2 linked regions of the Caenorhabditis elegans genome follow. The protein of the gene in region 1 purifies or fractionates together with the protein of each later gene. This does not show direct contact. Each region holds a gene or a part of one and is shown on either strand. Other genes may lie near its edges.

What was found. Proteins that work in one complex are often made in the same cells at the same time.
Region 2: the proteins of rpap-3 (region 1) and F32D8.4 fractionate together in Caenorhabditis elegans (co-fractionation; one large-scale study listed by BioGRID). This does not show direct contact.

What each region holds. Positions count from the first base shown.
Region 1 is NC_003282.8:7,777,223-7,780,817, reverse strand, and holds rpap-3 (RNA polymerase II-associated protein 3), read left to right. Parts: upstream 1-1,852; 5' UTR 1,853-1,854; coding exon 1,855-2,478; intron 2,479-2,527; coding exon 2,528-2,797; 3' UTR 2,798-2,879; downstream 2,880-3,595. Other genes in the region: sec-10 (Exocyst complex component 5), read left to right, coding at 398-630, 678-1,266; swd-2.1 (Anaphase-promoting complex subunit 4-like WD40 domain-containing protein), read right to left, coding at 2,946-3,182.
Region 2 is NC_003283.11:10,890,953-10,895,143, reverse strand, and holds F32D8.4 (PIH1 N-terminal domain-containing protein), read left to right. Parts: upstream 1-1,583; coding exon 1,584-1,766; intron 1,767-1,811; coding exon 1,812-1,919; intron 1,920-1,965; coding exon 1,966-2,076; intron 2,077-2,123; coding exon 2,124-2,321; intron 2,322-2,373; coding exon 2,374-2,486; intron 2,487-3,264; coding exon 3,265-3,427; 3' UTR 3,428-3,547; downstream 3,548-4,191. Other genes in the region: F32D8.5 (Transmembrane protein 70 homolog, mitochondrial), read right to left, coding at 1-82, 127-217; F32D8.14 (Protein YIPF), read left to right, coding at 444-486, 532-612, 665-763, 826-1,388; F32D8.12 (D-lactate dehydrogenase (cytochrome)), read left to right, coding at 4,151-4,191.

The DNA.
Region 1 (3,595 bases):
GAAAAAAAAACGTTTTGAGCTTTTTACGAGATTTTCAGTGTCACCTGTGGCTTTCAGCAAAAATTTTTCGACCAAAAAACGAAAAAATTCAAAATTTTTCCTTTTTCCGACTAAAAATCAACATTTTTGCAATAAAATTTGTATTGGTTCGAAAAAAACCAAGAAACCCATTTTTTTTCCAAAAGAAACCAATAAAACGGTGGGGTACTGTATTATTTTGTTTTAATTTTTCTTTAGGAATATTCAAAAAATATTCAAGTTTCCGAGTATATTTCCTAAAAATTGAGAGTTTTGAAATAATATTCGGAATTTTTTTCCAAGCTTCTTTCAAAATTTTAACGTATAAAAAACCTAGCATTTTTGCAAAAATAAATTCGAAATTTCAACTTTTTTGCAGTTATGTGACAAAGAAGAGCTGCCAAGACACGTGGAAAATATCGTAGACGTTCTATTAAAATATCTTTACGGAGAACATTTGGATTATGCTGTGGAGACAGGCTTGGCTGGAATTTCTCTTGCAGAATCAAAAACTGAACCACCTGCCTACTTTTTCTCGGTTGTTGCAAAATGTACCAGTGTCATTTTACTTATGATTAAACAATTTGAAGATCCCATTTTCCCTATTATCAAGTGAGCTTAATTTTTATTAGAAAACAAATAAATATATTTTATTTCAGAGAAACAATTGTCGAACCATCTGTTGCCAAGAAATGGCAACAATCTCTGCGTTCTTTGGAATCAAAAATGAGTTTAGGATTGGAACGGCAATTGAATTCAATCGTAGGATACGTGAAATTCTTGTTCAGCGAACAAAAGAAAACTGATTTCCGTCCGGATTCTCAGCAAATTGATATTCGAGTATCCCCACAATGTCAATTGGCATCTCGTTTTCTTGCAAACCAAGTTGCTGCAATGGAGTTGGGATGTGATGGCGAAAATTTGGAAGCACTTCAATCTGATCTTGCAACTCGGCTATTCAAATTCATGCTTACACATATTCAACAGTTCACATATAATTCTACTGGTGCTGTACTTCTTCTTTGTGATGTTGGAGAACTTCGAACTCTTGTATCAAAATGGAGAGTTCAAAATGCACTGACACAATGGGAAAGTCTTCAAGCTCTTACCAATTTGCTCGCCGTTCTTCCCGATCAAGTTAATGAAACAGCTCACTCCTCGTTGCTCGAAAATGTTGATAGACAATTGATTCATGATTTTGTTCGACTTCGAACCGATTTCCGATCTATTAAAAATTTCCAAATTTAGTTGTTCAAATATATTTATTGCCTTTTTCGATTTTTGTGAATGTCTATTTCTTATCCAGATGCTTTTTTCTTGTGATAGATTGGATTTTTAAACTTAATCTTGAAATTTTTTTAAATAAAAACTAACACTTAATACCGTTGCGGGTATTCTTGTAAATAAAATGCTTGCTTTTTTTTTTTAATATCTGTTTTTACCCAAGTTGGTAGATAATTCCATCGCATTGTTATTTGTTGTTACCAAATTGTGAAATGTTGCTTTTATTTAAAAAAAAAACGCTTTCTGCTCTCACCACGGAAAACAATTTTCAAATAAAGGCTGCGCTAGGGCTGACCCCAAAACACAAGAAATTAATTGTTTTAAAACCCAAAAAACCAACAAGAAAATTGTTTTTTCTCTTCTTTAAATTTTTAAATTTTGTTTTTTTATTCGAAAAACCCCAAAAAATCTAATAAGATTTCAGAATACTGATGAATGGGTTACTGTACTTGTAAAAGGTTTTTTCGTGTCTTGAATGAATAAAAAGTATTCTTGGAGATAGAGCTTACTTGTGAATTACCTTATTTTGAAATAAAATATTTCGTTTCAGAAATGGACGAAGAAAAAAAAATTGCACAACGTCTGAAAGAGCAGGGAAACGAAGCTTTTAAGAAGAAAAAGTATCATAAGGCTATGACAATCTATTCGAAAAGTCTTGAACATTGGCCTGATCCAATTGTATTCAGTAATCGAGCTCAAGCTGGGCTCAACGCAGATCTTCCTCTACTTGCCCAAATCGATTGTACTGCTGCACTAAATTTGGATTCAACTGCAGCAAAAGCTTACTACAGAAGAGCTCAAGCCTTCAAAGCACTGGAATTGTATGAATTGGCTGAAAGAGATATGAAAACTTGTTTCAAATATTCGAATGATCCAAATATGGAGAGACAAGCAAATGATCTGAAAGGAAAGAAAAATGTGCAAGTTATTGATCTTCCGTCAATCGAAAGAGACGAATATCTACAATCAGATGAAAAATTCACAAAAATCGACTTTACGTACAATATTGAGAAGATCGAGGAGATCATTGTCGCTGAAGAACCAGAGAATGATAATATTGTTCCAAAGTATATAACAAAGCTTCCACCACACCCAAAGGACTATCAAGATTTTGTTGGAGCTGTGAATATGTTGAAAAGAGCCCAAAGTTTGCTTCCTCTTGCAGAATATTTCTTAGTAAGTTGGAAATCTGTGACGTTTCAGAATTAATCGAAATTTGTTTCAGAATATCAGCATGGATAAATATTCAGAATTATTCGATGAACTCCTAGACGATGTATATGCTGTTCAAATCTTCAAGGCACTCAACTTTCATCTGAAAACTGGTCGCACGATTCCCCATCTCGCCGCACGAATGATGATCATCAGTGAACTCAGTCGTTTTGATCTTTTAATCGCATTTATGTCCGAAGAGCAGAAATCAACTATTACTGAAATCTTGGATTATATGGTTCCAGAAGAAGCAGCAATGGTGTCATCAAGATATTCTTTCTGATATTGAACTTTCTTCATTTCGAATCTCAACTTGTTGTTACATTCATATTGTTGTTTTTGTGAGTAAAAATTATAAATATCGTAATTTTAAAATGTTGAATCGAGATCAATGGGGAATGATTTGAAATGTGCTATTTGCATCTTTTTGTTTAAAGATTCTGAGTGTATTCTTCACTGGGTGCCCATAATATAACTTCTCGTCCTAAAGATGTCATCAGGAATTGTTTCTGATTGAAAGCAACTACATGTGACGGTTCAGGATAAGGAGTTGGAAGCTTGCAAGTCACTCCACCCGTTTCTGTTGAATAGATATAAACGTTTCGGTCTGCGCTTCCTACCATTACGAATCCAGAATCAGTGGAGACCGATGCTCGAAGTGGGATTTTCTGAAATAGAAAAGATAATTTTGTTTAAAAAATTATAATTTTTCAAGTTTTTTATAGAAAATAACATTCGAAATTCATATTTGCTCAAAATGTTTAAAGAAACGTTTATAATTGACATAACTTGATGTTTTTCGTCTTTTTGTAAAATCGTATTGTTGGCGAAAAAACTATTTTCGTTTTCGTTTTCGAAAAAAAAATTGGATTCAGTCCTGATTACAGTAACCCAACTCTCCTTAATTGAATTTTTTTTTCTTTTTCACATTTTGTTTTTTTTTTCATCTAGATTTTGAGGTATTTATTTTACTCTTGATATTTTTCACTAAAGTTTCACAAAAAAAAATGCCTTCGAGAGATATAACCCGCATTTTCGCTCAAAATCGCAAAACTTCGCTACTGAGTAACATTTAATTTTC
Region 2 (4,191 bases), on another chromosome or scaffold:
GTTCCCTTGTGGATTAGAATGGAGTGTCCCAAGTCATCTTTATCAATCTTTGACAATGGTAGAACTTCGACGTTGCCTGAAACTCAGATGGAAACAATAATTTGAAATTTGAAATAAATCGCTTACACTTTGACGTTGTTCCAAGACTTCTTACACATTTTTGAAAGTTCGATGAGCTGATTCTAATCGGGCGGAGCAATGCATATAATGAAGACATAATTTATTGATACTACCAAGAAGCTAAGTGTTGAAATTTATTAAAAGCAGGTTCAGCGCAGGAAGATTTCACTCAAGATTAAGTTGTCCAAGAGGAGTACACGGACCAGAGTTCGTTCAAACATTTCTAGGCCGCGACACAAGTGCGCTCTACTGCTTCACTGTTACAACGAAAAATCTCTTCATTTGCCACATCATTTCAATAAATTTTTGATTATACTCTCAATATGTCGAATGGATTTTGGATGGATGATGGACAACAACAACAGGGTATTTTTATTTAAAGTATAATGTTTATAGTTTTATAATTTTCAGGAGGATGGAACACTCAAACAAATCAACAAGACATGGGTTGGGGTCAATTTGATTACTCGCAGCCACAACAGCCACCGCAGCGTGAGATTTATTTGTAATTAAACAAATTTCTTGAATATCATTTCACCTTCAGAAGCTGGAAACGACTACTATCAACAAAATCAACAATATCAACAACCACAAACCAATTATTATGGAGGACAAATGTTCATGCCAAACAACGGGACGGGAGGTACATATATATTTATATCAATTCTTCATTCTGAAATGCATTTTTAATTCTACAATTTTCAGCAATTCCAAACGCCGGTGTTGCTGCTGATGGCGAAGACTATGAAAATGAGCCACCACTCTTGGAAGAACTCGGAATTAACTTCTCACATATCAAGGAGAAAACTATTGCTGTTTTAAATCCAACTGGATCTGCAACTGTCGAAGTTATTGCTGATCAAGATCTTGCTGGACCTCTCGTCTTCTGTCTTCTTTTTGGAGCCGCTCTTCTTCTTCACGGCAAACTCTCGTTTGGATTTATCTATGGAGTTGGCGGACTTGGATGCGTTGGAATTTATGCCCTCATGAATCTCATGGCAACGGACGAGAAAAATATTTCCTTCACCTGCACCGCATCAGTTCTTGGATATTGTCTACTTCCAATGGCTCTTCTGAGCATTGTTACAGCTGTATTATCATTCAAGGGCATTATCGGGTATATTATATCGTCGCTTGCTGTCCTTTGGTGTTCTTCTGCTTCATCAAAATTGTTTGTAATCGCTTTGTCAATGGATCACCAACGTCTTCTCGTTGCATATCCGTGTGTTCTTCTCTACTCTGTTTTCGCCCTTCTTGCCATTTTCTAACGTCGTGTCTTCTTGTGAATAGTTTAAATACTTGAGTAATTTATTATCATTATTTATGAGTATAGTGCCTCAATTAATTCATTATCATAAACTATTTTTTGTCATTGATCCTGATCTTGATTTACAAACTTAATGTTAAAACTCGTTTGCATACTTTTTGGTTTCGTATATCTGGAAATACTGAAATTGTTTCAGATGGATCTTAAAATTGAAAAAAAGGAGGAAGCGGAAACGTGGCTCATCAAACCACTTCCAGGTTATGTGTGTAAATGGAAGGATGTAAAAATCAATGGAATTGTAAACGATGAATACCGAAAGTGTTTTGTAAATGTATGCCATTGCGAGCAATTACCGCCACCAATCGACGATTTTGATCAAGTAGGTATTTTGAAATTATTTCCGTAATATCAACTATTTTTAAAGGATGAAATTGCTGCTCAATTAGATGCTGGAAATCCGTCATTTCGAATTCCGATGAGTGTTGGCGAAATTGACTGCGTGAAAGATCATAGTGATGAAAATTCGATCAAGGTAGTTTAATTATAAATGTTTGATTGTTAGTATGAAATGTTTTTAGATTGATGTTTTGGTAAACAGCACATTCTATAAAAAACGACTAGCGTCTCCAAATGACGCATTCTTCCGTCATCTCCTTTGTCTAATTTTCTGCGATCTTGTGAAGGATAGAGTCAGTTGAAATTTTATCAATTGAAATAACATAATTCTTAAATTCAGCACTCCATTGACTTAGACCCATTGAAACCAATCGTTCTTCGCAATCGTGTTTCAGTTGGAGAACTTGAAGTACAAAAAATTCACAAAAAACCAGAAAAACAGATTGTCGAAGAAATGTATCAGGAAGATAAAGTTAGAATGGAGAAAGAAGAAAAAAAGCAAGTTGGAAATGATGATGTTGCTGAAATGAAAAATGAGGTTAGTTATTTTTGTTGCAACAATAATTTTAACTTTAAAATGTCTCCTTTAGATGTTTGGCCTGAAACACATTGATGGAACAAGAATACGACTTTTTGATGGTGACAGACTCGAAATCAGTATGCGATGTGAACTTAATGGCGAACCAATCAAAGATCCTAGAAGGTGGGTACATTATTTTAAATTCAGTTGAAATATAAACAATCAAAATGCGAGTTGAGTTTTCAAAAAGTGTGAACACATAATTAAAATCATCGATTTTTCTTTCAATTTCAAATGTTGACTATGGCCAGTGGGGAAATGATTGAAATCCATCCCTATTATGCTAAAATGTCGAAATTTCATAATAAATTAAAAAAAAACATTTTGACAAATTTTTATTTTTTTATTTTATTTTAAAAAAAAATCTAAATTACTGTCGGATGTTTGAACCCTATAATGTAATAATATGAATATTTTGAACATAATTAAAACATAAAATTGGAAGACAAATTGTTTAATCGACTTTCAGAAAATTCGTGAAAATTGAGTTTTTGACTCGAAATAAACATATTTCCAAAATTTTTCCAACAGTTATATTTATTTCGCAGTTTTAGCACCGCAGGAATGGTGTTTAATCATTTCCCCACAGGCCGTAACATTAAAAAAAATGTATCGTAATTTAATTTCTACCCGATGATAAATAATTTTCCAAAATCGTCTAGAATTTCTCAAGATTCTCAAAAACACAGACTTCATTATTATCTATATTAGTTTTACGTGCAAGACTTATTATTGATAAGTTTGTAGGTGTGAAAAACTGTATAAAAGTTTTTAATCCATAAGAGGCTACAAAGCTAATTTCCAATTTGTACGTAAAGAAGCAGAAGCAAAAAATACCTGATTTTGAAAAACCTAAAATTGATAACTTGAAAGCTTTTTTTAAAAGCTTAATATTTTTCAGACTAGAACTCCAACTCAACCCCACTCGATGCTTGGTAACGTTGGATAAAAGTCGCAGCCTTTATGATTTCGGACTCCCATTTCACATCAATCCGTCCACAGCCAAATCCAAATTCAACCACGAAAAATTCACACTAGTGGTTTCAGCAAACATTCTGTTGTGATACTGTAATCTCGCGTTTCTTCTAGATCTCTATTGTTGAATGCCGTTGTTTTTCTACTTGTTGATTTTGTTCCCAGTTTTGGAATTTTTCAGATTTGTTTTACTGATTAAAATTTAAAAAAAAATCTATATTATTGCTTTTGAAAATCGCCGAATAGATATAATCAACTAAAATAAGATCCAGAGCGTTTCGATCCTAAAAAACATCACATGCATATTGCGACTTTTTGAAGTTCAAACAACGAAACAGTCAATAAAATATCCTATGAAAACAAAAATTAACCATTTTTGATGTTTTTTGCCCGTGCAGAATCCTATTTCGAAGTAAATTATTTTCAAAGTAAGAAAGCGGACTAATTCACAACTCAATAAATGCAAAGTTATTTCTATTTTTCTGAAGGTTTCTAAACAAGAAAAAGCTTATTTTAACGTATTTCTTCTCTAATTCTCCATTTTCGTCTTCATCACGTAGAAACCAACACTATTTTCAATGTTTCTCATCCTGCGTCTTCCATCTCGATGTTTCATGTCAATGTTTCATTGAACTTATTGGTTTGCCCGTTTTCTGTGTTACATCAGAGTCCAGTTCTTCAACTACGATCAACCCATCACGTATGACATAGAGGAAGATAAGATGGTTTTTAGCCGAATTCTATCACTTTTAACCTCTTGTTCATTTGTATTTTCTTTCATTTCTTTCATTTTCATTCACATTATTTAGAAAATGCGGCGAGTCTTCAGTTCTCAAGCAATTCAAACGGCAAT